Linked DNA regions of Macaca fascicularis. The main gene of each other region encodes a partner of the protein of the gene in region 2 in a complex. Links are inferred from orthologs where the notes say so. Each region holds a gene or a part of one and is shown on either strand. Other genes may lie near its edges.

Region 1 (4,804 bases), on a different chromosome or scaffold from region 2:
AGACACATTGTGAATTGCCCAAACCACTATGTCCCTAACGAAGGATGCCTATCTGTTTTTACTGTAACTTTTCATTAGTTACTTATTACATACTATGATGACTTACGGGGTAAACACACCTTTCACTACCCACGATATAATCCAAGCCTGTGTATATCCATAATATGCTTAATAATAGCTTCACAGTTGCCTGGAGAAATGACTTTTGGGGAGGAAGGTATATGACATTTTTAGATAATGCTGTGGATTAAATATTATTAGAGCAAAAATTTACTATCTTGCAATTACTTCATATAACTAATGAGGTACAGTTCATGACATACTAAGAAGCATCTTAAGTAATCAAATACTGATTTTCAAAGTATTTGGCTAACAAGGACTAAAATTTTTTTTCTCTTAATCCAAGATTTAATTCGACCCCTATACAAGAAACACTTCACTTTATTGATCATACTTCAAAACATATACTCAATAGTTAAGGATCAATAATTTCTGTTTGGTTTGGGTCTTTCCACTCGTGACTTTCTCATGTTTTTACTCCCCTCCCCCCATATCCTGTTCCTTAAGTACACGGGTGCTCCAGATTTTCCTATCAATAGAGGGCGTCCTCGAGTCATTGTATACCCTGGTGTCGTTAAACCGAACTGTTCTTCAGAGGAAAAACTTCATCTCTAAGGCGCTTTATTGCTCCTCTGTTGTAAAATTTGACAAGCTCGAGATTTATAAGCCTAACAATTCACTTTCTATTGCTGCATAAGTGTTCACCCGCTAAAGGAAAATGCTAATTTTCACAATTAAACCGCAAGGTGGTTCCTATTTTCAAGACATAGGTCAGTTGACACACTCGCGGGTAAATTCGTACTGTTCGCAAGAGCAGGAATCAGCTTGGCAAGCAAGAGTGTAGTGAATAGTCACTTATAGCGCAGCCACTCCTCGACCCCGTGAGCTGCAAGTTACAAAGGATTTTAGATTCTACAAAGAAAAATCGGGGAGGGAGGTAGAAAACAAACATAAAATCGGTGACTTATAAAAGTTTTATGTTTTAATCAGAAAAAAATCATGAAGTGACTGATGAGTGGTGCAACTCACACATCCACCCTGTTTCTTGCCACTGGTACTCTTTCTCCCTTCCTCTTTGTTTTCAGGAAGGAAGGAGGAGACCTGAACAGTACATCCAGAGAATCCAGCAAAGCATACCACGGTATGAACGTGCAAGTGCACAGAATTAAAACACATGTCAGAAACACTAATGGATTCTAAACAAGATGCGGTTTCATTTCCTGAACCTATACGTGATGTTTTTAACTGTTCTCCAGTTAATATGTCTCCATTTCCAGAAATCTAACAGGAGAATCTCTGACTGCTTAACAGATCATCTAGGTTTGCGATTTGTGCAATCCATCCTAGAGTAAGGGCTCCCCGGCTGCTCCCCGGCCACTGTGTACCCAAAGCAGCGGCTGAAATGGCTCAGAGTCCGACAGCTCAGCGTCAAGCAGCCTGTGGTTTGTACTTACATCATTTTTTTTTTTCATAGCAGGAGTAAAAGTTTATTAAAAAGCGTTAGAACAGCAAGGAAAGGAAAGGAGAGAAAATAAGGAAAGTACAACTTGGAAGAGGGCCAAGCGGGCGACTTGAGAAACCAAGTCCCTGTACTTACATCATTCTTAACCCTTCCGCTCCTGGAGGGGGCTCAGCGGGATCAGGGGGCCCCCGAACTTCGGAACACGCAGGACCTGAGTGTGAGAGAAGAGTCCCAGAGCTTGGTGTGAGCAATGCACTCCCGGAGGGAGACAGCCCGGGGCTTGCGAAGGGCTCATCACCCGCTCGTAGACAACGGGCCCCCGCAATCCCTGCGGGCTCCGCCGCTGCTCTCACCGCTCAAAACGGCAGGTGCAAAAAGCATTTGGGAGCCGCTTGCCAGGGCGCGGAGGTAATGCGCTTCCTGTCCATTTATCTCAGGAAACCAGTGCAGCCTTCCCTTCGAAACAAAATTAACCTCTCATTAGCCAGCCACTCGTTCCCAAGAAGGCCTTAAAAGCTTTACCGGCTCGCTAATGTATTTAGGCTTTTCTTCCAGGCAAACGCAGCCGCCGGTCTTGACTGCCATCAGCTCAAGGGGTTCCTCTGGGCTCTCCCGCGAGCCAACAGCCGACCTCTCTCCAGCCTAGTCTGGGAGACTCCAGCCAACCCAGGATCCCATTTTGTAGTCCCGGGCAGACCCGACACCCCTGAAAGAACTCCACTCCAGAAGACGCCAGAACAAGTTCCCACGAATTTCATGGGCGCCCTTCACATCAAAACCTCAGCTCCCCTGTCCTCAAGGAACGGGGAAGAGAGCCGGGGAGGGATTTCGGTGGCCAGCTGTCCCTGGGTCGCGGGCGCTGTTTGCTCTGCGGAGCGCCAGCCCTGCACACAGCGGGTGCGGGAAGCGTTGATGGGAGGCTGGAGGGCGGGGTGAGAGTAAATTAGGATCTAGCCGGTTCCAGGCGTGGAGAATCAAATGTGGTCCTATATCTGTAAGTGGCGAAAAGGGGCTTTTGGGAGCGCTTTCTCACTCCGGTCCCCCGCCGCCTTGAGGCTGGCAGATTTATACCACACAGGTGGATGGAGACCTAAACAAAACAGTCCCGGCCGCTGCCTGCCGCTCGCCCCCCACGTCCCCTGGGCCCACCGCAAACTTCAACAAAATAAACAACTCACCACAGGCATTCCCTTGTCTGCAGCGCGACGCTTGCCAGCTGGGAAAATAAGCCGCAAGCCACGCGGCCGAGGCGCGGAGGGAAGGCAGCGCGGCGCCCGCCCCTCTCCCCCAGGTTGGGGGTAGCGGGACTCCGGGCGGGAGGGAGGCTCCGCCTCGGGGGCCGCTTTCCCAGCTCTCCGATTCCGGAATGAGCTCTCGGAGAGGAGCTGCGCCCTTCCAGCTAGCCCGATTTCTCCGCCACCTAGGGGAGAGGGCGGGGAGCCAAATCGCTCAGTCCCCCGCACCCCAGCAGCTTCCTCCAGGCAGCTTTTCCCCCAGTCCAGCCTCAAATAGAGGTGAACAGAGAACCCCCTCCTCCCGGCAACTCCTCTGTCGCCACACTGCCCCCTTCCGGCGCTACCCGGCTCATTCCGGCACAGCGGACGGCTAGGGGCATAGGGGCGCCCTAGACCCCCGCGTCCAGGTCCGGGCTCAGTTCTCTCTTCGCCTTCCCCCCACCACACTCAGTCTTGCACAAAGACGCCTTTCACGCCGCCAGCGCCACCCTCCGCGCTGCCCTCCGGGCCGGCGGCCGTGCCTTCGCCCACCCGCGGCACCAGCCGATTCCTGGTGGGCGATTTTGCCACTCGTCGCCAGGCAGGGCGGCAGCGGACGCGTGCGGGCTGTTCCCACCCTGCGCCTCGGCCAAGGCGCCAGATGCGCTGCCCCCCGCCACGTTCTCTAGCTGCCCGCCGGCAGCAGCAGAATGCTCCCCTTTCTCTCCGTAAATGATCCTTAAGGGTCTTCCAAGTGTTTCTAAAATGGGGACAGTGGCGGGAATGGTCCTCTGGACTTTCGCCGAAATAAGGAATCCAGCGATCTTCCCTGACCACCTAAGGTGCCAGTGTGTCTTTACAGCTTAAGAAAGTCAATGATAAAGATTTGGAAATAAAGAGGGGAGAGAGGGTTTAAAGAGACACCTAAGGCCCAGAGCAAGTGTTACAAAGAATGAGCCCACGAAACGTTCGAGGCAGGACGGTCGCTTCGGTCAGCGTGGAAGGCGTGGAGGGCGAGAAGAAAGCGATTAACTTTATACCTTACATTGATCTTCCAAAGTAGAAAAACAAACAAGCAAACAAAAAAATTATAGATACTCAGCGGCAGCTAATCGGCGCGTTCAACTCCTGGAACTAGCGAGCTGCTTCTCTTAGTCAAGTCAAATGCTCAAGTACCTTGACTCAGGGAGGTCACTTCTTGCCTCCTTAGGCAAGAATCTACGACCCTCTCCAGCTTTTCTTTGCCTTCTCCTCCCCCAACCCCTCCTTATAGTTTCTCCGGCTAACGCTAGAGGCAGCATAGGGCAGTGTAAAGAGGGCGAGTGGGAATCCACAGAGGAAGGTCTAGTTCTGACTTTCTGGGTCTGAGTCTTAGGCAACAGATTTAACGTCTTTGGACCTTGGGGTCACTATCAAGAAAGGATGTGTAAGAGGCAATAATTAGTAAAATTTACATATTTTTCTCTTTCTTAAATGCGATGACAATGAACGCCCTTCCTCCAAACCTCTGCAGGTTCCTTCTTAGTATTTTTTCACCTTGCTTTATCTTTTCTAAGTGAGAGTCAAATTGAAAAAAAAAAATACTAAGATCGTTTAAAGGTAAATGTAAGACACATTGAAACACACTCTTTTGCATCTGAGAATTTAAAAAGAAGAAGAAAAAACACCCAACTCAGCTCCTGGTTCACAAAAGCAAGGAATTTTAATGTCCCCACTTGTTTTGCTTTTGAAAAGCCACTCCAGCAGTCAGCAAAGCACAGCTTTGATTTAGAAACTAAAGGCTAGTCTCTTGTGTTTTTCTTTTCCCTTCCACCAACACAAAGACAAGCTGCAGCATAAAATAATGATGAACAAGAGTTCAAAGCAAGCCCAGTGAGCCAGCCCAGAGGATGTTTTTTAATGCAGCCCCAGTCCTTCCTCCCTCTCCTGCTAAGCTGGACGGTACATAAATAGCAGGCAAAAGCTGCCAGAATTCCCTGTCTCCTCCAGTCTTTTCCCATAAATATTGGTCAGTAGAACCTGGATGCTAACTTGTCAATCATCACATAAATACATTCATCAAATCATA
Region 2 (4,501 bases):
GTGAGTTAAAATCAGATTCAGAAACCATAGTACAGAAGCAAGAGTGGAAACGTCCGCTGGCGCCCTGGCTAAGCTGCCTCTATAGGGATGGCTGCAGTCTGCCCACGGTGGAGGGCTTTGCAGGGTGACTCCCCGCCCCCACGCCCTGCTCCATGCCTCACCTTCATGGTGGAAGCTGCGCACAGTGTTGGCTCGGCTGGCTGCCCTCTCCAACCGGTGGTCTGGGGCAGGTGAGCCCGGCTGACCCGAGTGCCTGCGATACAGGTCTAGCATGTAGGGGGGCACCACGGCGTCCCTGCTGGGGGTGGGTCTCTGTTTCAGGCCGAACATGCTGAGCAGCCGCAACTCGAACTCGCTCAGGACCTCGTCAGAGGGCTGGGATGAGGGGCGGCCCGACGACGACGCCGCGAACTTCCTGCGGCCCAGCTCCGGAACGAGGCCAGCCGCGCCGCCCAGGAGGACCTGGGGAAGCAGCAACGCTAGAAGACAGCGGGTCCCGGCCACCATGGTCGACCTGCGGACAGGACCGACGTGAGTCACCCGAGCTCCCCGCCCAGTCCTCCCCCCTCGCGCCCCCGCGGCCCGGGCTCCCATTTGGCTGGCGTGCCTCCTCCAGGTTGCCCTCCTGGCTTGGCACACTCGCGAGTCTAGGTAAGACCGACCGAAGCTCAAATGTTTGGGATAATGAAGGGCCCCAAGTTCCAGAACCAGGTGATTTATCGCTCCCATCCAACTCTTAACTTGTCTAACATCAGATTTGGGGTTTGCCCTCCCCTCCCAACCAAACCAGCGCCAATGACTGTCACTTTTTTGTGTGTAACACAGCGCTGACTGCCAATGCTGGGAACCTGGGAGAACCACCGCTTGGTCTGACACCCTGCGTCCCCTATACAAACCCAAATGCAGAGCGCTGAGCGCTCTCTGGCATATAAACACACACAAATGGTGCATGTGACTTCCTTAGAGGCACTGTATAGAACTTCCTGACACACACACACACACCCCTATAACTTCCAGACCCTGTAAGCTCAAGGCCACAACTTCTGAAGCCACTTACAACTTGTGTCCCACGCCCCTACACTCAGGGGTGTCTGGAGAGGCAACTCCATCCCGCATCCCCGTAGTACGGTCAAGATACTCATGTATCTTCCTGGGATTACATACATGGTGAATATCTATTAATGCACGTGTCAGCTGTTAAAAACACAGCACCAAGTGATTCTTCAGTACTGACCCCTCGCATTTCTGGAAACAAGAAGGGAGAGCCCCAACTCCTAGTACTTTTCTCAATGGGATAGGGCTCTGAGTAAAGAAACCAAGTCTCCCAGAAACACTAGAAGAAGGGAGATCGCCATGGCAGGGTGGACAGGTTCTCAGCTAACGGGTGAAACCCAGGGGCTACCCTCTCAAAGGGATTTCTTTGACTCAAAAAAAAAATAAATAAATAAATAAATAAAATAAATAATTTAAAAATAAATAAATAAACAAAACACCTCATCTAAGTGTTAACAGCTCCAAAAGTATTCCGGGGAGAGGGTAAGAAAGAGGGGTGGAAGAGTGCGGGCCGGGAGGGTGAGGCTGATGGTCGCCCGGGACAGCTGGAAGGGGGCACCCCGCAGGGCTCCGTTGCACGTGGACTGGAAAGGGGTCTGTTTACTTCTGGCCTGGACGTAAGGAAGGGCTCTGCCGCAGTGGCTGCCCAAATCCCCCTCCCACCTACCACCTACCCCGGCCCCTGGCCCGCGTCCTCTACCTTTAGGAGACCGCAGTCCGTCTAAGAAGCACGCGGAGACACGTCCATTGAAAGAGCGTCCACATGGAAAAACTCTGGTCAAAGGACCTGGCGCAAGGACCGAATGTCCGTTCCTTTTCTTTGCCTCCTCCTTCTCCCGGGTGCCGGCCGCGCAGTCTCTTTTCACGCTGGGAACAGCGTCTCAGTCTCGGGCAAGGCCGAGGAGTGGAGGGGCGGTGGGGCTCGGAGGTGGCGAGGCAGGCTCCGCTGGGGCAAAGGCACGGGCGCAAAGTGGGGAGCTCAAGTTATTCTCCCTGCAAGTTCAAGAAGTCCCCAGCCAAGTGCTGACACACAACAACAGCGAGCAGGGGGAGGAGTGCGGGGCAGGGAAAGGAAGGGAGAAAGGAGAAGCTGGTGCTGTCGTCCTCCTTAGGAACCAGCGCCCGAGGGACGCGTGGCCCCGCGCGGGGCCGGCTCCAGGACTCAGGGAGCGAGGGTCGGGCGCTCTGCGCTAGCTCCGCCGCGGCCCATGGCTCGGGGCAGCCATCCTGGGCGACGCCGGGTCCGGGGAAGGGCACGGCGGCGATTTCGGTGCCAGGCGAGTTGCCCCCCCGCATCACTCTGCCTTACTCCAGTGCACCCCCATTCGCGCTCGCCAGTTGAAAGCACCGCGGCTCTGGCGCCCCGTCGTCCTCGGGCGCATTCTCCGGCGAGTCGAGCCAAGTCCCGGGCCGCCGAGGCGGGTGGTTGTGCTCTCTCCTCTCTCTCCTAACCCTGGGGCCAAATGCCCTTTGTGACTAGCCTGGGGTCCGATCACACCTCGGCCGGCGCTTCCCAGGCCCCCGATCTCCTGCAGTAGGTGCCCCGCATCGCGGCGCTAGGGATCGGCTCCGGAGTCGCCGGCGCTCTGCGCGCCCGTCCGCGACTCTGGCGCAGCCGGGGCAGCAGAGGCCACGGCGCTGTGGCGCGCTCTGCCGGGTGCTCCAGCCCGCGCGGGGTCTGCGGCGCGCGGATGCCTCGCGGTCCCCGGTGATCCGCGCGGCGCTGGCCCCGAGAACGTTCGGGTCGCCGGCGGAGGCTGTGGCGGCAGATGTGCGGCGGAGGCTGCCAGTCCCCGGCAGGGTGTGGGAAGCGGAGCGACTAGCGCAGCGCGAGCCCGGCGCAGCGCGGCGGGGCGAGGACTCCGGCGGCGACGGCGGCGGCGGCGCCGTGGCGCGGCGCTCGCGGCTTTTAAAGGGGACGCCGCCTGCCGGCTCCCTCCCGGCCGCGGCCGAACACCTCCCCCTTCGCGGCGCGGCTCGCCGGGGATCCCCGAGCGGGCGGGAGCTGCGCGCAGGGGTGTGGACGGCGCGCCCGGGCAGCCGCGGCGGGGTGGGGCGGAGGGCGGGGGCGCGCGGCCGCCAAGGGGGGCGCTCGCGCCTCCACTCCCTGTCCTCAAAGGAGAGATCAGCTGGCGCGCCGGACCCTCGCGGGGACTCCGGAGGCGAAATCCAGGACAAATGCAGGGTCAGGGTCTGGCTTCTATTTCCCCTCTGGGCCCGTTATTCAACTTTCAGTTTGGAGTTTTTCGATAATATACAATTTCAAAAAACAAAACAAAACAAACACCTCAATTACAGCGCATTTTGGCATAGCATAGACGTCGGATTCACGCTTCTGTTTCCCCGGAATAGGAGGAAAATTAAAAGAAAACAGGAGGCTGGAAATTGAGTGTTTTTAAACATTAATACAAAGAGATGTATGTATTTACATATGTAAATGCATGTGTACAAATTTCCTTTTACATAAATATGTGTGTGCATTTATTTTCATATCCATATGCATGTTACAGTTATATAAATATATCCAATATACAAAAATATGTACATATATTTCTATATATTCATATATGAGAACATATGCAACCGAAGGTAAACATTTCGGTAAATATATGTCTACGTGTGTGACATGGATGTCATCCTGCTTTACGTGACATGTGTGTAACGTAGACTGTGTGTGTGGCAGCCTGAGGGATGGATGGGAGGGATTTGATTTCTTTTCATGGTACAACCACTTTGTGCCTTGTGATGTTTATCTCACCCAGCTCAGAGGCAGGCGATTAACAGCTCAGAGGAAGGTAAAATAACGCACTGTGTGAACCAAGCATACAGGACAATTTCAGTTTGGGACCTTGGAACCTTCTACTCCACCCTCTTCCATCAGGCCCCCAAGAAGTAGGGCTGTGACACGTGGCCAAGTCACTCCTCAGCTGAATATTCGCTCAAGTCACTCCTCAGCCGAAACATTCCTCAGAGCTGCTGCACGATGAGTCTGGGGCCAAGGCTTTCTGGCCTTCCCAGGATTCCAGGAGCCCCCATGCACAGCACCTCGGGCTTGCCCAAATGATTCCCGAAATCAAGGGCAGAACATTTTTGGAAGAGGCCACGGTCTACTTTCCCAGAGCTATCGGGCCTGCAAACCAGAGAGAAAAAAGTCAAGCGGGAGCTGGTAATAAAACTATTATCCATGTGTATTATTTTTTCGGTGGGGGAGCTAAAATAATACCAGGTTCCGCTCACGTAAATCGGATTAGCAACCCACAGAGGCCAATCAGGCCCTTGCTGTTTCTAAAGGTATGAAGGTCAAATAAGGTATTTTGGAGGAAGCCTGACTACCAGGAAAATAAAACGGGGTGGGGGGAATTATTCAGGAACATGCTACTTTATTTCCTGACCAAAAAAAAAGTGCTATAGAAGTTGATTGTCACTCAGAGTCACTGGACCGCAAACA
Region 3 (4,049 bases), on a different chromosome or scaffold from region 2:
GCACACTGAAAATTATAAAACATTGCTGAAAGAAATTAATAAAGCCCTAAATAAGTGGAGATGTTTATAAATCTGAGGACTCAGTATTAAGATTTCAGTTTTCCTCAAATTGGTGTGTAATTTCATTTGAATCCAAATGAAAATCAGAGCAAATTTTTATAGAAATTGATGTATATTCTAACACTTATATGGAAATGCAAAGGACTAGAAGAGCCAAAACAATTTTGAAGTAGAAGAACAAAGAGGAATTACTACCTGATTTCTGGATTTACTGTAAAGCTCGATAATGATCACAATTTGGTACTGGTGTAAGGATAGATGTATCGATGAATGGAACAGATTATGGAGTTTAGAAAGGAACATGCACTTAATATGGTTAATTGATTTAAAAAAAAAAAAAGGTGCCCAAGTAATTCAGTTGGAAAAAGGCAATCCATTTAACAGATGGTGCAGGAAAAATCGGGAATCCATTTACCAAAAAGTTAATCTCAGCCCTTACCTCCTCACTCTGTATACAAAATTAACTTGAAATGTAGCATAGTCCTAAATGTAAAAGTTGAAGTATAAAACCTCTAAAAGAAAATGTCCAAAGGAATTATTGTGACCTTGGGCAGACTTCTCAGTACATAAAAAGCACAAATCATTTTTTTTAATGATAAATCAGGCTTTATCAAAATTTAAACCTTCTGCTATTTAGAAGACAATGTTAAGAAAATGAGAAGACAAGTCACAGATTGGCAAAACAGGTCTGATACAGGGTGTTTGTGCAAAATATATAAGAACTTTTGCAACTCAATAAGACAACCTAATTTTTTTTAAAAATGGCCAGAAGATTTGAACAGACACTTCCCCAAAGAAGATAAAAGAATGGCACACAAGCACATGAAAAGATGTCAGCATCAACAGGGATATACAAATTAAACGCAGTAAGATACTACTACACATCCACTAGTATAGCTAAGACTGACAATATTAAGTGGTGACAAAGATGTAGATCAACTAGAAATCTCATACATTGCTGATTGGAATGCAAAATGGTATAGCTATTTTGAAAAACAGTTTGACAATTGTCTGGAAAGTTAAGGGTATACTTTCTGTACAATGAAGCAATCCTTCTGCTAATTATTTACCCAAGAGGTATGAAAATTTGTCCACACCAGAGGCCTGAATGTGAATGTTGATAGCAGTTTTATTTATAATAGACATAAACTGGAAACAACCCCAAAGCTCATTAATTGGTAAATGAATAAACAAATGGTGGTACATTCATACAGTGGAATACTACTCATCAGTAAAAAGGAACAACTTCTAACACCTGTAGCAGTAACAGTGGGTGAATTTCAGAAGTATTTTATGCTACATGAAGGAAGTCAGACACAAAAGGCTACACTCCTGCCTCAGCCTCCCAAGTAGTTGGGATTAAGGCATGCGCCACCACACCCAGCTAATTTTTGTATTTTTTTTTTAGTAGAGGCGGGGTTTCACCATGTTGGCCAGGCTGGTCTTGAACTCCTGACTTCAGGTGATCCCCCCGCCTCGGCCTCCCAAAGTGCTGGGATTACAGGCATGAGCCACCACGCCCAGCCAAAAAGTGAAAATTTTTTTACGTGATTAAAATGTTCTGAATTTTTTTTTTTTTTTTTTTTTTGAGACGGAGTCTCGCTTTCTAACCCAGGCTGGAGTGCAGTGGCCGGATCTCAGCTCACTGCAAGCTTCGCCTCCCGGGTTCACGCCATTCTCCTGCCTCAGCCTCCCGAGTAGCTGGGACTACAGGCACCCGCCACCTCGCCCGGCTAGTTTTTTTGTATTTTTTAGTAGAAACGGGGTTTCACCGTGTTAGCCAGGATGGTCTCGATCTCCTGACCTCGTGATCCGCCCGTCTCGGCTTCCCAAAGTGCTGGGATTACAGGCTTGAGCCACCGCGCCCGGCCAAACGTTCTGTATTTTAATTGTGGTATTGGTGATTACATGATATAGATTTGTCAAAGGCTTGTTGTACTTTTCTCAAAAAGGGTACATTTTATGTAAATTATAAAATCTTGACTTAAAAACTTACAGGCTGAGGCAGGCAGATCACTTGAGGTCAGGAGTTCGAAACCAGTCTGGCTAACATGTTGAAACCCCATCTCTACTAAAAATACAAAAATTAGCTGGACGTGGTGGCAGATGCCTGTAATCCCAGCTACTCGGGAGGCTGAGGCAGGAAATCGCTTGAACTGGGGAGGCAGAGGTTGCAGTGAGCTGAGATTGGCTGCTGCACTCCAGCCTGGGCAACAGAGTGAGACTCTGTCTCAAAAAAAACAACAAAATTTACAAAAGGATTCTGTAATAAATGATACATAAAGTCACTTTAACTTTGCACTAAATCTAGTTCATTTTAGAAGCATTTCCAACTTGGAACACAATGTTCTTTTTAATGTAGAATGATCACTAACGCTTCTGAAAATGAAAGATAACAATCCATATACATCTTTTATTTAACAAATATGAAAGTTCTTCTGATATTGTCCCAAATAGATACCTGTATTCTGTGAGCAGGGGATGGATTTCAAGCAAATATATACGTAAATAAGAATAAAGTTATGATTGTGTGAAGTGCAGCAACTGAGAGGTTTTGTGTGCTATGAAGGTGTTTAAGTGAGAAAATAGCACTCTAAGTAAAGGGAACTGGACATTCAAAAAGACCCAGAGACAGGAATAAGCTTGAGTGAATTCTAAAAGTTGACATAAATCAAACAGGAGGTTTGTGGCTGGGTGGTCACAGCGAATAATGGGGTCAAGCCAGATCTTGCAGGGTCTTATAGATGGGATTTTTAAGATCTTTAACTGTCATTTGGACTTTGCTGCATAATAAACCATCCCAAAAACTTAGTGCCGTGAAGCACAAAGATTATTTCTCATTCTGTGAGTCTGCGGGGCAGTTCATTTGTTGGACTTGCTCAGCTAGAGCTAGGTAGTATAGTTCACACGCATGGCCAACCGTTCATGCTGCCATTATTTGTTGTTCACAGGGTTACCAAAGCAGCAGGAAAGGGCAAGCCCCAGTCCACAAACATTTGTCAGGTCTTTGCTTGCATCACGTTCGCTGTTGTTCTTTTATCCAAAGCAGGTCATATGGCCTAAGCCCTGAGTCTGCGGGCCAGGAGTACCCATGGCTGTGTGCACTGGGAGGGGAATTATTATGACCATTTTTGCCATTAGCCACACTGAATAATCTGTTTATAATTTCAGAATACATTGTAAATTGTTTCATACTTTAAAGTACATTATGGCTGAGCATGGTGGCTCACACCTGTAATCCCAGCATTTTGGGAGGCCAAGGTGGGCGGATCACCTGAGGTCAGGAGTTCAAGACCAGCCTGGTTAACATGGCTAAACCCCATCTTTACTAAAAATACAAAAAAATTAGCTGGATGTGGTGGTGGGTGCCTGTCATTCCAGCTACTTGGGAGGCTGAGGCAGGAGAATCACTTGAAACTAGAAGGTGAAGGTTGCAGTGAGCCGAGATCAGGCCACTGCACTCCAGCCTGGGTGATAGAGCGAGATTCCATCCAAAAAAAAAAAAAAGTACATTATAAGTTTTTAACTCGAACTGGTTGGGTATACCATGCTTTTTGATGAGATGGACTATCCCTTTGCCAGTCTTAATGGGTTTCTTTCATCAAGAGCTCAAACCTTTTACTTTTTTCTATAAAGGTTCAGCGAACTATTGCCAAACAGATTCAGATGGTCCGGCAAGTTGGTAAAGGCCGATATGGAGAAGTATGGATGGGTAAATGGCGTGGCGAAAAAGTGGCGGTGAAAGTATTCTTTACCACTGAAGAAGCCAGCTGGTTTCGAGAAACAGAAATCTACCAAACTGTGCTAATGCGCCATGAAAACATACTTGGTGGGTACACACTGATTCAGTCAATTTCATGTTTGACAAGGCTAGTGGGGGGTGCAGGTGGAAGCCTCTATATATGCTTTGAAAACATGTGTAAGTTCAACTATATACACTTGTCTAAAGGAAACCCAGTAGAATACGTGGTTTAAATATAACATAGTCT
Region 4 (4,715 bases), on a different chromosome or scaffold from region 2:
AGAAGGTGAACCAACTCTGAAGCCTCACTACTCAAAGTGGGCCGCGGACCAGCAGCATGGGCCTCTCCTGGGAACTTGGTAGAATTGCAGAAGCCCTGGCCCGCCAGGCCACCCAGCACAGCCTCATCTGGGGCTACCAGATCCCACTCCACAGCCCTGGAGCATGTGAGGGACCCCTTTCCGGAGTACCTGGGTAGGATTTCTGTCATGAATTCCCCACACACCCCAGAGTTCTGTAACAGGGGTGCTGCTCTGAGAACGGTTTTGAAGGCTGTGGAGATAGCAGATCCCGATCACAAATCCAGTCCACTTAAAATTCAGGAGCCTGCGGGGTTGTCCATTTGGAGTGTAGAGCCACACCTGGGCGCCGGCCTGACCCTGCCAGGAGGCTGGTGGGAGCCCAGTGTCATAAGATGGGTCTTGCAGGAGAGGCTGGAGCCCACCCGTGGTGGAGGGAATCGGGAGTGTGCTAATGAGGCTATGTGATGATGTGTGGCTGCAGGGGCATGAGCTCACGGGTCCAGTGGCTGGATTCATGTCCTGCCCTGGCTCACTTCCTCGAAGTGAGACTTGGGCAAGAAGTCAGCCCAGCAGAGCCCAGCTTTCCCCTGAGCTGGGGATGGCAGTCGCACCGGGAAGATGCAATGGGGGAGGCCTGTACTGCCTGCAGCGCTGGACCTGGGACATAGCCAGCCAGCTGGGACTTCACAGTCCCTGCTCTCCAAGGTTCTACCAGATTCCGTCCTGGTGGAGAGTCAGAGCACAGCACAGCTCCTGCTTGTGTTGCAGTGGGGCCTGCTCTAAAGGGACAGGCAGTGTCCTTTTTCTACTTTGATCACAGTAAGGGCCAGAGGTAAACCGGAGCCTGAGCGTGGCCATCGGTTAACAGGAGACCAGTGTTCCTTCCGCTTGATTTTCTCTGATGCCCACATCTGCATGATTCTGAGGAGGCAGAATGTCAGGTCAGCACACCCGGCTCCTGGAATTAATGAGGTTGCCGGGACAGGCATTGTGTGCAGGCCGCTGCACCAGTCAGTTCCTGTGCGCTGGGTCCCTCCAAACGCTTGTTCTGCATAGTACTCCCTCCGCATACACCCCACCCCACTCACCTCCTGTACTGGCTTTATCAGGGGGCAGCAAGGAAGCTACCTTGTCCCACACAGACCACACCAACATTTCAAAGCCTGCAGGTAGGTTGGGCCCTTCCACATCTTGTACAGGTAAAGGAGACGTGAAGACAACAGAGCAAGAGAATCTTCTCATTGCCTTGGGAGGGAGACCTGTCCTCAGCAGCACACCTGTGTGGGAGGAAGACTACATGGGGGGATCTCACCAATGCTCCCCACGTATCTGCCATAGCACCCCTTTATAGTGGTGTATTAGTCTGTTCTCACACTGCTGATAAAGACATACCCAAGACTGGGTAATTTATAAAGGAAAGAGGTTTAATGGACTCACAGTTCCACATGGCTGGGGAGGCCTCACAATCATGGCAGAAGGCAAAGGAGAAGCAAAGGCACATCTTACATGGCGGCAGGCAAGAGAGCACGTGCAGGGGAACTCCCATTTGTAAAACCATCAGATCTTGTGAGACTTATTCACTACCACCAGAACAGTATGGGGGAAATGGCCTCCTGATTCAGTTATCTCTACCTGGCCCCACCCTTGACATGTGGAGATTACTACAATTCAAGGTGAGATTTGGGTGGGGACACAGCCAAACCATATCAAGCAGGTACCACCTGACTGTCATTTACCTAACCTGACCCTTTAAGTCAGCATACTTTAATTTAAATAAAGCTAATAAAATGGAAAATCTGTAGCTCTTACATCAATTTTTTTTTTTTTGAGATGGAGTCTTGCTCTGTCTCCCAGGCTGGGGTACAGTGGCACCATCTCAGCTCACTGCAACCTCTGCCTCCCGGGTTCAAGCAGTTCTCGTGCCTCAGCCTCCTGAGTAGCTGGGATTACAGACGCATGTCACCAGGCTCAGCTAATTTTTGTATTTTTGGTAGAGATGGGGTTTTGCCGTGTTGGCCAGGCTGGTCTCGAACTCCTGACCTCACATGATCTGCCTGCCTTGGCCTCCCAAAAAGTGCTGGGATTACAGGCATGAGCCACCATACCCAGCAATTTTTTTTCTTAATGCACATTTAAATAAAGGTATGACTTCTCAAATTAAAAGACAAAGTGTTCACTTAGGTATCTCCCGAAATTACCTTGTTACTGGCAGTATGGCAAACACAGGTCACATGAGGGGGAGAGCCCAAATTTCAGATGAGCACTGACTTCCCCCATGCTCAGGTCTGTGACCTGGGAAGGTGACTTATGCTCCAGTAGAATGGTGCCCACCCACCTGCAGAGGCGGGAGAGATCACCCAGGTCCAGGGCTGCACAGCGCAGACTGGGTTCACACAAGGTGCTGGGATAGGTGGGTACTTGTGCTTGCGTTAGCCTGCCCTCAAATATGTCTGTTTTTGGTTTTATGTGCAACTCAATTTTATAGGTAAAACCAGCACCGGAGAAACAAACTGACTTTTCTAAGGTCACAGGCCAAGTTAGTGGCCTAGACAGGAGTGCTGAGGCTCCCTTTCCCCCCTGGAGACCACCCCGGCCAGCACTGGGCTGTGACGCCAGAGGCTGGATCTCCCAGCTGGTCTGCTGGCCCCTTTCTCCTGGAATCCATGTAGAAACTTCTGCTGCAGGTGTGTGTGCCTAGCCACTTGTGGTCACTATGGGCTGTGCAGAGGAAGGCCAGAAAAAGGCAGGTTCTATGTGTTGAGAAGATTAGGTGTGTTAAAGCCATAGTTCTGGGGCATGGTCATTTTGGCTAATTGTCACTAAAGTCTCAAAGCTTGTGAGGGATCCAAGGTTACTACTCTCGGTTGCTTCTCAGCTTGCTTCTCCGAGCAGGACAGAGAAGGATGGGGGCTACGGTGAGCCTGAGGGAAGCCAGCTCCTCTATGGCCAGGGGGCTAATGGAGCACTCATACCAGGCAACATTCATTGAGTTTTGGCTATGAATGCTGGGGCCAGACTAAGTCCTTTATATATGATAAATCACTTCACACACATTATCCCATCTTCCAGATAAGTATAACAAGGCACAAAGACAGGAGGTCATTTATATAAGGTCATACAGTACCAGGACTAGGGACACATATTTAATAGTGGGGCTAAATTCCCTGCCAGATTCCTGTTGCTTTAGCCAAAATTCTTGGGGATGGCCATGAAAGTGTATATAAATGTCAAAGGCCCCGGGGTGGCCTGTCAGCTTCCAAAGTCCTGCTACCCTCAAACAGTGACCACTTCCCTTTCAGCCTGCCTGTCCGCTTGGGGTCACTATAGGCTGGGTAAAAGGACCCCTTTTCTTACCACTTGCAGGAAGTTTTTCACCATCTGTGTGTGGCGTGGGTGGCTCTGCCCTAGATGAGATGTCCTCCTGCGACGTGTGGCTGCTCCCCTGCCCCACAGATGGTAGCAGAGGCTGGAGTTGCCAGACTGCACCCAGACAGGCTGTTCATTCCTTTCTCCTCAGCCACCTCCCCGTGCAAGATCCTCAAGTGCAACTCTGAGTTCTGGAGCGCCACGTCTGGCAGCCACGCCCCAGCCTCGGACGACACCCCCGAGTTCTGTGCAGCCTTGCGCAGCTACGCCCTGTGCACACGGCGGACGGCCCGCACCTGCCGGGGTGACCTGGCCTACCACTCGGCCGTCCATGGCATAGAGGACCTCATGAGCCAGCACAACTGCTCCAAGGATGGCCCCACCTCGCAGCCACGCCTGCACACGCTCCCACCAGCCGGAGACAGCCAGGAGCGCTCGGACAGCCCCGAGATCTGCCATTATGAGAAGAGCTTTCACAAGCATTCAGCCACCCCCAACTACACGCACTGTGGCCTCTTCGGGGACCCGCACCTCAGGACTTTCACAGACCGCTTCCAGACCTGCAAGGTGCAGGGCGCCTGGCCGCTCATCGACAATAATTACCTGAACGTGCAGGTCACCAACACACCTGTGCTGCCCGGCTCAGCGGCCACTGCCACCAGCAAGGTAAGGGGGAGGGGGCGGCTGTAGGGCACAGCCCTGCCCTTTTTCTGCCCTGTGTGGACACTGAGAGGCTGAGAGGGCCTCGGGTGCCTGGAAATGGGGGAAGATGGAGCAGAGTGGGGACACGGGAGCACTCTCCCTGAGCATCCCAAGGGGTGGATCTCAGCTTCCTCCCTCCTTCCCTGAGCCAGCCCAGCCTGGCTGGCATAGCTCCATTTCACAAATGGGGAGCCTGACGCTCTAGGAGGCCAAGTGACCTTCCCACTCCAAGTGCATAGTCAGCTGGGATGCTGAGCTAGAATTTGCCCCAGGCCCAGGTGATTCCAGAACCTGGCATGTTCTCAGCGGCCCCACGAGGCCACTGAAGGCTGCTGGTTTTCCAACCCAAGGAGGCCTTAGCATGTGGGCAGCAGGACTCAGGTCCTGCTCATGGGGCCACAGCCAGAGGCAGCCACACACACGGCCATGGGCCCATGCAAGTGGACACTGCTGTCTACCCCAGGCTCTCCCTCCCCTACCCGCTTTTGGGGAGGATGTCCTGTGACCTCATATTCAGACTTAGCCAGAGGGCAAGGCCTCGAGGCCAGGAAGGAAGCTGGTGGCTCCCAGTTCAGGTGATGGGGACACGTCCACCCTCCCCAGTGCCCGGCCTACCAGTGCCCCCT
Region 5 (4,741 bases), on a different chromosome or scaffold from region 2:
AGGATGGAGACTGACTATGAATTCTTTCTTCTTTGTGTTTTTCCTGAGGGTCTTCACCCAGTAGATACTCCATAAACAGGTCACCCAATCTGTTCTCAAGCATGATTTGTTTCTGGTTCCTGAGGGACATTTTTTGCTATTCAGTCAAATCTGCTCAGCCTAACTAAATAAAGGATCTGGGTTGGTTTTCAAGCAAAAAATAGGTGATTTGAAGGAGAGGAGAGGAGATTAAAAGACCAGAAACCAGCACGATACAATGTCATTAATTGGAATCTACCATCTCAGGAGGGCTGTGCTAGAGTTTAGCCCTTGAACTCCACTAAATAATTTTCTTTGTTAATTCACATCAGTGACAAAATTGCTCTGCAACATGTAATATTCATAAGGAAACAAACTAGTGCTGAATCCTCATAAAGCACATAAAAAAGAAAGAAGTATGCTTAGGCGCCTACTATGTGCCAGCTTCTTTTTTTTTTTTTTTTTTTTTTGGCGGGGAGGGGCGGTCAGGGAGGTAGGACAGAGTCTCACTCTGTTATTCAGGCTGGAATACAGTGGTGCAATCTCAACTCACTGCAACCTTTGCCTCCTAGGTTCAGGTGATTCTCGTGCCTCAGCCTCCCGAGTAGCTGGGATTACAGGAGCCTGCCACCATGCCCAGCTAATTTTTTTTTTTTTTTTTTTTTTTTTGTATTTTTAGTACAGACAGGGTTTCACGATGTTGGGCAGGCTGGTCTCGAACTCCTGACCTCAACTGATTCGCCTGCCTTGGTCTCCCAAAGTGCTGGTGTTACAGGCATAAGCCAAGGCCCCTCGCCTGTACCAGGTCCTAATCACACATTATTTCTAAGTCAGCCCAATTCAAACCACCAATGGGTTGTTGTTATCTCCAGTATCCATCAAAGCAAGATCTACTTTTGAGCAGTCCCTTGATAGTCTAATTCTAGTTGTCTAGACTTTAAAATCGAGGGAAATGCTTTCAGCTGAAACTGCCTACCCCTTTTTATAGAGGTTTTGCAGAAAGACTGTAGTATGCAACAAAGTGCTTTCTTCCTTAGATGATAAACTTTGGGAGTTGGGGTGGGGCAGGTTTAAAGGAAAAATCAGATCTTTGGGGAAAGAAAGTTGAGCGATTTAGGTTGTCACAATGGGACCTCTTAACTCCCACTCTGTGGAAGACTGGCAAATACTTGAGTCATCCACTCCAAGTGTCTCTTCTCCAGCTTTTTCCAGATTCCAATCACATTCACCACAAAGAAAACCGAGTTTGCATTTTAAAGCTTAGATTGAGTTCCTCGTCCAAGGGGAAATTAACCGGAGGTGTCACTTCAGTACCCATCTCCCATCAAAGAGAAACTGCTTCTGAAAGAGAAAGCATCATGGAGGTTTATTTAAAATCACAGAAAGGTGGGGCGGAAGAGAAACCTATCAATAGTTAAGTCACTAATGCGAAAAGTGAGGAAACTGACTTGTCCAAGTTATATCAGGGTGGACCCCAGGCAAGACTCAGGTGCCTCTGCTGTCAGCTCACCTTTCAAGTTTCTAGTCCCCACTCGCACCCACTGAGACCAGAGAGACCAATTTACCTGAGGCAGAAGGTGCTGCACGCATTCTTGTCAAATTTGAAGGGACTGAGGAGGTATCTCAGTAAGTTTGTTTGCACTGGGGGCCTGGAGAGCTTCGGGAAAATAGCCAGAACCAAAACGGACCCGTCAGCAGACGCAGACACACACAAAGTGACACGGACACAGAAACAGAAGCTGAGCTGGGCAGAGCGGGCAGCGGCCGACCCACCTCGCACGGCCGCCCCCCGCCAGCGCCAGGTGCAGGGCTCGCAGCGGCCCAGCAGAGGGCGCGCCGCCCCCAGGGAGCCGAGCGGCGGCCGTGCGGAGCCGGGAGGACTAGGGGAGCCGCAGGCGAGCCAGACGCGCCCCTGAGGCTAGGCCACTCAGGGTGCAGGACCCGGCCAAGGAAGAGGAAGATGGTGAGGAGCGGACCCCCCTGGTGGGCCCGAAGGACAGACAGGCAGGAGTGCTTCCTAAGAATTACATCACGCTGCGCAACGTTGCGGTTCTCGGACTCCCTGGTGCAAAGAGGGGTGGGGTAGGGGCTGTGTGTGTGTGTGTGTGTGTGTGTGTGTGTGTGTGCGCTGGGGGGAGGGGACTTAGATCAAGAGCCCGGGAGAGAAGAAGGCGAGACGCGCCCGGGGAAAACGCTCCATGCACATGGAGAAATTTCTGGCTCCAATCTGCATGCACCGAGAAACGAGCCCCCAGCACTTCCCCGTTGCTCCCCTCCCAGTGCAAAGCACCCAGCTAGTGAGAAACCCTCCAGCCCCCACCTCGAGCACCGCCCCCCCAACACCGGCTCTGCACCCTCCAGCCCGGCTCCAGCGCCGCCGCGAGCTTTCCCCAGGACTGGCCCTGGCGGGGCGCCTAGAGCCCCAGTTGCATTGCTCCAGGAGAAAGGAGGGGGGCGGTGCATTTTGCAGGAGGAGGAGAAGGGGGGTGGGTGGTGGGGGAGAGAGAAAATTGCGCGGAGACCTGCCAAGCGCCACCGCCGCCACCACCGCCGCTGCCGCCGCCGCCGCCGCCGCCGCCGCCTGTGAGCTCCGGCGGGCAGCCGGACTGTCGGCTTCCCGGGGCATCTGGGTCCGGCGGGGCACAGCCCTGGGCGCTGCCGAAGCCGCCGCCGCCGCCTCCGCGGCGAGTACAGGCGGCTTCCCCCGGAGCCTCTGCAGCTCCAGCTCCTCGGGGGTGGAGAAGTGGGGGGTGGGGTTGTTGTTTGGGGGGAAGAAGGGGGAGGGGGCAACGCCGAGAGAGTCAGTGGTTTCCATGGTGATGGAGCTGAAAGTGCAGGAAATTTAAAGGCTTGGACCCTGCGAGACAGACAAACCGGTGCCAACGTGCGCGGACGCCGCCGCCGCCGCCGCCGCTGGAGTCCGCCGGGCAGAGCCGGCCGCGGAGCCCGGAGCAGGCGGAGGGAAGTGCCCCTAGGACCAGCTCAGCCAGCGGCGCTTGCACAGAGCGGCAGGACGAAGAGCAGAGAGAGGAGGAGGGGAGAGCGGCTCGTCCACGCGCCCTGCGCCGCCGCCGGCCCGGGAAGGCAGCGAGGAGCCGGCGCCTCCTGCGCCCCGCGGTCGCCCTGGAGTAATTTCGGATGCCCCGCCGCGGCCGCCTTCCCTAGTAGACCCGGGAGAGGAGTTGCGGCCAACTTGTGTGCCTTTCTTCCGCTCCGGTGGGAGCCGGCGCTGCGCGAAGGGCTCTCCCGGCGGCTCATGCTGCCGGCCCTGCGCCTGCCCAGCCTCTGGTGAGCCGCCTCCGGAGAGACGGGGGAGCGCGGCGGCGCCGCGGGCTCGGCGTGCTCTCCTCCGGGGACGCGGGACGAAGCAGCAGCCCCGGGCGCGCGCCGGAGGCATGGAGCGCTGCCCCAGCCTAGGGGTCACCCTCTACGCCCTGGTGGTGGTCCTGGGGCTGCGGGCGACACCGGCCGGCGGCCAGCACTATCTCCACATCCGCCCGGCGCCCAGCGACAACCTGCCCCTGGTGGACCTCATCGAACACCCAGACCCTATCTTTGACCCCAAGGAGAAGGATCTGAACGAGACGCTGCTGCGCTCGCTGCTCGGGGGCCACTACGACCCGGGCTTCATGGCCACCTCGCCCCCCGAGGACCGGCCCGGCGGGGGCGGGGGTGCGGCTGGGGGCGCGGAGGACCTGGCGGAGCTGGACCAGCTGCTGCGGCAGCGGCCGTCGGGGGCCATGCCGAGTGAGATCAAAGGGCTAGAGTTCTCCGAGGGCTTGGCCCAGGGCAAGAAGCAGCGCCTGAGCAAGAAGCTGCGGAGGAAGTTACAGATGTGGCTGTGGTCGCAGACGTTCTGCCCCGTGCTGTACGCGTGGAACGACCTGGGCAGCCGCTTTTGGCCGCGCTACGTGAAGGTGGGCAGCTGCTTCAGTAAGCGCTCGTGCTCCGTGCCCGAGGGCATGGTGTGCAAGCCGTCCAAGTCCGTGCACCTCACGGTGCTGCGGTGGCGCTGTCAGCGGCGCGGGGGCCAGCGCTGCGGCTGGATTCCCATCCAGTACCCCATCATTTCCGAGTGCAAGTGCTCGTGCTAGAACTCGGGGGCCCCCTGCCCGCACCCGGACACTTGATCGATCCCCACCGACGCCCCCTGCACCGCCTTCAACCAGTTCCACCACCCTCTAGCGAGGGTTTTCAATGAACTTTTTTTTTTTTTTTTTTTTTTTTTGAGCTACAGAGACCTAGCTTTCTGGTTCATGTAATGCACTGTTTAACTGTGTAGGAATGTATATGTGTGTGTATATACGGTCCCAGTTTTAATTTACTTATTAAAAGGTCAGTATTATACGTTAAAAGTTACCGGCTTCTACTGTATTTTTAAAAAAAAAAGTAAGCAAAAGGAAAAAAAAAGAACAGAGAAAAGAGAGACTTATTCTGGTTGTTGCTAATAATGTTAACCTGCTATTTATATTCCAGTGCCCTTCGCATGGCGAAGCAGGGGGGAAAAGTTATTTTTTTCTTAAAGTACAAAGAGACGGGGGAACTTTTGTAGAGGACTTTTTAAAAGCTATTTTCCATTCTTCGGAAAGTGTTTTGGTTTTCCTTGGACCTCGAAGAAGCTATAGAGTTCAATGTTATTTTACAGTTATTGTAAATATAGAGAACAAATGGAATGACTAATCATTGTAAATTAAGAGTATCTGCTATTTATTCTTTATAATAT
Region 6 (4,777 bases), on a different chromosome or scaffold from region 2:
CTCACTGCAAGCTCCACCTCCCGGGTTCATGCCATTCTCCTGCCTCAGCCTCCAGAGTAGCTGGGACTACAGGCATCTGCCACCACGCCCAGCTAATTTTTTGTATTTTTGGTAGAGACGGGGCTTCACCGTGTTAGCCAGGATGGTCTCGATCTCCTGACCTCGTGATCCGCTCGCCTCGGCCTCCCAAAGCGCTGGGATTACAGGCATGAGCCACTGCGCCCAGCCTATCTCTTTTCTTTTTTAAGGGGGATGGGGGGCGGGTCTCACTCTGTTGCCCAGGCTGGAATGCAATGGTGCTATCACAGCTCACTTCAGCCTCAAACTCCTGGGCTCAAGTGACCCTCCTGCCTCAGCTCCCAAAGTGCTGAGATTTTGCAATATTTTTAGTCACAAGATTATGTTATTCCACAAAAGTATCTGTCTGAGGCTAGGCATGGTGGTTCATACTTGTAATCCCAGCACTCTGAGAGGCTGAGATGGAAGGACTGATTGAGGCCAGAAGTTCAAGACCAGCCTGGTCAACATAGTAAGACCTCATCGAAAGAAAGAGAAAAGAAAAGAAAAGAGGGAGGGAAGGAGGGAGGAAGGCAGGGAGGGAGGGAGAGAGGGAGGGGAGGGAGGGAGGGAAGGAAAGAAGGAAGGAAGGAAGGAAGGAAGGAAGGAAGGAAGGAAGGAAGGAAGGAAAAATGTATCTCTTTGAATCTTTTTCTATTTCTCCAAGTCTTTCTTTCTTTCGAAAAATTCTATTCCCATTCTTTCTTCACCTCTTTGCCTTTGTTAACCTTCTCTCTAAGCAACTCAGGAGCCTTTATTTTTTGTGTATTGAGGGAGAGGAAGAGGAATTGCTGTACAAACCAAAGTAATGAAAATGGAGTAGGTAGGAGGATAGACAGCTGCAAGGATCTGAGCTGGATAGACTGAACAAACCCTCATCCTAAGCAACTCATAGCTCAGATTTCTTCTCTGGACAGCTGGCTTTTTTCGTTCTTCTGAAATACTCTGCAAAGATAGGGGAGGGGCTGTGAACTACTTCTGCTATGGATCTTATTTAAAGTCAGCTACCTCCTAGACACTATCTGTAGTACCTAAATGTAATATTCAGCATAGCAGGGATGAAGATGGTAAATGAAAGGTATCCAACTGCCCACTATAATTTTTAAAGGCCAGGAGTTCGTCGTTACTAAAAATGCTGGAGGGCTGCCTGGAGTAGGCAGTGACCAGAGTCACACAAGCTGGAACTGGATATTCGACTTGTCTGTCATATTTCTCTCCTCCCTCCCTGACTTGGCACCCAATACTCCATATTCTTTCTAATCCTCCAACCCTCCCCACTCCCCCAACTCCCACACCCTACCCCCACCAACGTTCCTGGAATTTTGGACTCAGCTATTTTTAAAACCGTCAACTCAGTAGCCACCTCCCTCCCTGCTCAGCTGTCCAGTACTCTGGCCAGCCATATACTTCCCCCTTCCCCCTACACCAAACCTTCTCTGGCTCCCTGACCTCAGTGAGACAGCAGCCGGCCTGGGGACCTGGGGGAGACATGGAGAAAGAGACGGAGGACCCCCTGGCTGGAGCTGACCCACAGAGTAGGGAATCATGGCTGGAGAATTGGATAGCAGAGTAATGTTTGACCTCTGGAAACAGTAAGTCAAAATGAAATTGCAATTCCTTTAATAAGCTTTTATATTGAAGTTAGACTTTTATAAAATTACAAACACCTACTTGGATGTCTCTCGTCCAAATGCTGTGATCTCTCCCTACCAAGGTGCCCCAATCTCCATTTCTCTTTCTGTCTTCTTTCTGGCCTCTGGCCTCTAGTTATTTGAAGTTTAATTCTCCGTCTCTCCTCTGGCAGTCTTAGCCCTCTCTTTACCTTATTACCTCAAGACTTCTGATGAAGTTTTAGAAGGAATTCCCTACGTCCGCTATTCCGTAGTTTTCTTACCAAGGCCAAATATGACCTCTCAGACCTCAGACACCCTTCTATCCTGCCCCCACTTAGCAATGCTCTTCACATTGAGATTCCAAGGGTGGGGGCTGCTCCTTTAAATTATTTCTCCCCACAACTCTAGTCCCTCCATTCTATTCTCCCTCTCACAGGACTCTTCTCCCAATCATATCCTTACCCATAAGACAGGGGAGTTAGGCAGGAGGAATTTAGCCCCTCCCCAACTCCTGTCCTCATTAAAAAAACTGAGAACTTCAGAATTTGAAAGGGAGAGATTAATGGAAAGTGGTTCTTCAGTGAAATTTGGGAAAATACAAGAACTGTTGACTTAGAAAAAACAAATATTGATTTGCATGTTTGGTTTGCATCCCATTATTCCATGAGAGGGGGAGATTAAAATTGCAGCTCGCTAGAGCTGATGAAAAGAGATCAGTTCCCTTTTCGTTTGAATACTGATGTTCTAGAGGGGATGGGTATGCCACCCTTACTCCTTCTTGTGTTCTTCTGACACAAAGGAGGCAAAGAAATGTATGACTCCTAGAAGGCATCTCCTCCTAATGGAGAGGGACAAGTAAGAAGTATGTTTCTGAAATATTTTCAGGTCCTAATTTTATTAGGGTACCCACTAGGATTACTGGTATCTGATCTATCCCCATGATTCCTCCATCTTTGACATATCTGCTGTTTGGTAGCTCAGGATGGAGCAATATAGTGGACTCTGGCCCCTTGAGTTCATTCAACCTTCCCTCCACCCCCACCTAGGGGTATTGCACAAGGGCCCTAAAAGTGGCCACAGGCACAGGGCAAAGAGACTTCACTGCCACACTTACAGTTTGAGGAGCCCCAATCTCCCCAAATTCCAATCTGCTCATCCTTTTCTTGATCTCCCCAGATTCGCTTCACATTATCCTGACCAATCTTCAACTCTTCTCTCTCTCTCCATGTCCAGCCAAATTTCTTTTTTCAGTCACTTACAGGGCTTCCGGTCAAAATTCACTAGGTAGGAGGGTCATCAGCTGGGAAGAACCGGCGCCTGGGGAACCTGGCTGGATAGGTATGGGGGAGCAAGGCCAGTCCCCTAGTCCCAGGTCCTCCCATGGCAGTCCCCCAACTCTAAGCACTCTCACTCTCCTGCTGCTCCTCTGTGGACATGGTAAGGAAGGGCCAGGGAAGGGTTTGGGGAAATCTAGAGGGTAGGCTGCTATGTAAGGGTGGGCACGTGAGCCTGAATGAGTGAGGAGAGATGTGCGCTGAGAGTCCCGGTCACTCGCCCTGCTCTCAAACAGGAATATTTTATTGCCCGTTCAGTTTGGGGAAGGCCACTGGGGAAGCCCTTGGTCGACAGGCAGAAGAGATGTGGTGGGCTTACACATTTTTAGTAAGACAGCCGAGAGAACTAGGGACAAGGGGGTTGGGGGCTGGGGAAGGCCCTTAGTTAGGTTTTAGGAAGACTGGAATCCCCTGATGAGATTTGGAAGAGTTATGAGCAAACTACACTCCGATAGAGCAGGGGTCTGAGGACCGTCTCACAATCCTCTCCCTTCTGTCTTTAGCTCATTCTCAATGCAAGATCCTCCGCTGCAATGCTGAGTATGTATCGTCCACTCTGAGCCTTAGAGGTGGCGGTTCATCAGGAGCACTTCGAGGAGGAGGAGGAGGAGGAGGCCGGGGTGGAGGGGTGGGCTCTGGCGGCCTCTGTCGAGCCCTCCGCTCCTATGCGCTCTGCACTCGGCGCACCGCCCGCACCTGCCGTGGGGACCTCGCCTTCCATTCGGCGGTACATGGCATCGAAGACCTGATGATCCAGCACAACTGCTCGCGCCAGGGCCCTACAGCCCCTCCCCCGCCCCGGGGCCCCGCCCTTCCAGGCGCAGGCTCCGGCCTCCCTGCCCCGGACCCTTGTGACTATGAAGGCCGGTTTTCCCGGCTGCATGGTCGTCCCCCGGGGTTCTTGCATTGCGCTTCCTTCGGGGACCCCCATGTGCGCAGCTTCCACCACCATTTTCACACATGCCGTGTCCAAGGAGCTTGGCCTCTACTGGATAACGACTTCCTCTTTGTCCAAGCCACCAGCTCCCCCATGGCGTTGGGGGCCAACGCTACCGCTACCCGGAAGGTCAGGCACTCAATCTTCCTTCCGATCTACCTCATCAGATTCTTCCACGGGCACCATTCCCCCCCATCGCCACTAGTCAACAGCAGTGCTCCCTAATTCCCTTTTCTTCCTCAACCTCTCCCTCATCTTGAATCACTCCCTTCTACCAAACAGTTGGAGCTGTAAATCACTTCCCCTTGATGGGAATTTCACTCAAATGCAGAAAACACTGAAGAGACATTGAAGAGAGCAGACCTGAGGAGTTTCAGAAGGGAAACTTTTCCCTCTCCTAGGAAGTTGCCAAGGTTAAGTAGAGAGAGGGGTTAAGTAGGGATGAGGTAATACTGGAAGGTAAATAGGAGAAGCAATCAAGGATTGAGGGCCATAATAGTCCTGCATCTCTACTTGAATCAGATCCCTAACTATGTATGAGGTCTGACTGGGGGGAAGATGCACTGAACCCAAAATGAACTGTTTTCCCTCTTGCCCTCACAGCTCACCATCATATTTAAGAACATGCAGGAATGCATTGATCAGAAGGTCTATCAGGCTGAGGTGGATAATCTTCCTGCAGCCTTTGAAGATGGTTCTGTCAATGGAGGTGACCGACCTGGGGGATCCAGTTTGTCGATTCAAACTGCTAACCCTGGGAACCACGTGGAGATCCAAGCTGCCTACATTGGCACAACTATAATCATTCGGCAGACAGCTGGGCAGCTCTCCTTCTC

The links.
Region 1: the proteins of BMP2 (region 2) and RGMB are in contact, whole or in part, in a crystal structure (PDB 4UI2), measured with the Homo sapiens proteins. The link is inferred for Macaca fascicularis from reciprocal best matches to the Homo sapiens genes BMP2 and RGMB. Residues at the interface, in NP_001191.1 of Homo sapiens: Val308, Gly309, Trp310, Trp313, Met371, Tyr373, Leu374, Asp375, Glu376, Tyr385, Met388; in NP_001353437.1 of Homo sapiens: Lys97, Arg100, Gly101, Leu103, His106, Ser107, Leu110.
Region 3: the proteins of BMP2 (region 2) and BMPR1A are in contact, whole or in part, in a crystal structure (PDB 2QJ9), measured with the Homo sapiens proteins. The link is inferred for Macaca fascicularis from reciprocal best matches to the Homo sapiens genes BMP2 and BMPR1A. Residues at the interface, in NP_001191.1 of Homo sapiens: Lys297, Pro330, Phe331, Pro332, Leu333, Ala334, Asp335, His336, Ser339, Asn341, Ile344, Val345, Leu348, Asn350, Ser351, Val352, Asn353, Ser354; in NP_001393490.1 of Homo sapiens: His66, Cys67, Pro68, Asp69, Ile77, Thr78, Asn79, Phe83, Ile85, Cys100, Met101, Lys102, Glu104, Gly105, Phe108, Gln109, Asp112, Arg120, Ile122.
Region 4: the proteins of BMP2 (region 2) and RGMA are in contact, whole or in part, in a crystal structure (PDB 4UHY), measured with the Homo sapiens proteins. The link is inferred for Macaca fascicularis from reciprocal best matches to the Homo sapiens genes BMP2 and RGMA. Residues at the interface, in NP_001191.1 of Homo sapiens: Val308, Gly309, Trp310, Asp312, Trp313, Met371, Tyr373, Leu374, Asp375, Glu376, Lys383, Tyr385, Met388; in NP_064596.2 of Homo sapiens: Arg91, Arg94, Gly95, Leu97, His100, Ser101, His104.
Region 5: the proteins of BMP2 (region 2) and NOG are in contact, whole or in part, in a crystal structure (PDB 7AG0), measured with the Homo sapiens proteins. The link is inferred for Macaca fascicularis from reciprocal best matches to the Homo sapiens genes BMP2 and NOG. Residues at the interface, in NP_001191.1 of Homo sapiens: Trp310, Asp312, Trp313, Val315, Ala316, Pro317, Pro318, Gly319, Tyr320, Ala368, Ile369, Ser370, Met371, Leu372, Tyr373, Lys379, Val380, Val381, Leu382, Lys383, Asn384, Tyr385, Gln386, Met388; in NP_005441.1 of Homo sapiens: Ile33, Arg34, Pro35, Ala36, Pro37, Ser38, Asp39, Asn40, Pro42, Leu43, Val44, Asp45, Leu46, Ile47, His49, His199, Arg204, Arg206, Pro219, Ile220, Gln221, Tyr222, Pro223.
Region 6: the proteins of BMP2 (region 2) and HJV are in contact, whole or in part, in a crystal structure (PDB 4UI1), measured with the Homo sapiens proteins. The link is inferred for Macaca fascicularis from reciprocal best matches to the Homo sapiens genes BMP2 and HJV. Residues at the interface, in NP_001191.1 of Homo sapiens: Phe331, Pro332, Ala334, Asp335, Leu337, Asn341, Ile344, Val345, Leu348, Ser351, Val352; in NP_001366281.1 of Homo sapiens: Leu40, Asn43, Tyr46, Val47, Tyr86, Leu101, Ala102, Ser105, Ala106, His108, Gly109, Ile110, Asp112, Leu113.

Annotation. Positions count from the first base shown.
Region 1 is NC_088380.1:105,152,815-105,157,618, reverse strand, and holds the start of RGMB (repulsive guidance molecule B), read right to left. Parts: upstream 2,891-4,804; 5' UTR 2,710-2,890; coding exon 2,701-2,709; intron 2,443-2,700; exon of another isoform or gene 2,045-2,442; intron 1,979-2,044; coding exon 1,876-1,978; intron 1,734-1,875; coding exon 1,658-1,733; intron 1-1,657. UniProt on the Homo sapiens protein: Member of the repulsive guidance molecule (RGM) family that contributes to the patterning of the developing nervous system. Acts as a bone morphogenetic protein (BMP) coreceptor that potentiates BMP signaling. Promotes neuronal adhesion.
Region 2 is NC_088384.1:80,544,768-80,549,268, forward strand, and holds the start of BMP2 (bone morphogenetic protein 2), read right to left. Parts: upstream 2,939-4,501; 5' UTR 1,754-2,938; intron 515-1,753; 5' UTR 508-514; coding exon 162-507; intron 1-161. UniProt on the Homo sapiens protein: Growth factor of the TGF-beta superfamily that plays essential roles in many developmental processes, including cardiogenesis, neurogenesis, and osteogenesis. Induces cartilage and bone formation.
Region 3 is NC_088383.1:59,723,285-59,727,333, reverse strand, and holds part of BMPR1A (bone morphogenetic protein receptor type-1A), read left to right. Parts: intron 1-3,696; coding exon 3,697-3,889; intron 3,890-4,049. UniProt on the Homo sapiens protein: On ligand binding, forms a receptor complex consisting of two type II and two type I transmembrane serine/threonine kinases.
Region 4 is NC_088381.1:77,804,620-77,809,334, reverse strand, and holds the start of RGMA (repulsive guidance molecule A), read left to right. Parts: upstream 1-1,655; 5' UTR 1,656-1,670; coding exon 1,671-1,694; intron 1,695-2,506; coding exon 2,507-2,705; intron 2,706-3,384; exon of another isoform or gene 3,385-3,429; coding exon of another isoform or gene 3,430-3,538; coding exon 3,539-4,053; intron 4,054-4,715.
Region 5 is NC_088390.1:50,134,528-50,139,268, reverse strand, and holds the start of NOG (noggin), read left to right. Parts: upstream 1-1,870; 5' UTR 1,871-2,161; coding exon of another isoform or gene 2,162-2,833; 5' UTR 2,834-3,413; coding exon 3,414-4,112; 3' UTR 4,113-4,741. Other genes in the region: uncharacterized protein, read right to left, coding at 2,162-2,833. UniProt on the Homo sapiens protein: Inhibitor of bone morphogenetic proteins (BMP) signaling which is required for growth and patterning of the neural tube and somite. Essential for cartilage morphogenesis and joint formation.
Region 6 is NC_088375.1:113,394,680-113,399,456, forward strand, and holds the start of HJV (hemojuvelin), read left to right. Parts: upstream 1-1,491; 5' UTR 1,492-1,649; intron 1,650-2,903; exon of another isoform or gene 2,904-2,921; 5' UTR 2,922-3,010; coding exon 3,011-3,107; intron 3,108-3,507; coding exon 3,508-4,070; intron 4,071-4,544; coding exon 4,545-4,777. UniProt on the Homo sapiens protein: Acts as a bone morphogenetic protein (BMP) coreceptor. Through enhancement of BMP signaling regulates hepcidin (HAMP) expression and regulates iron homeostasis.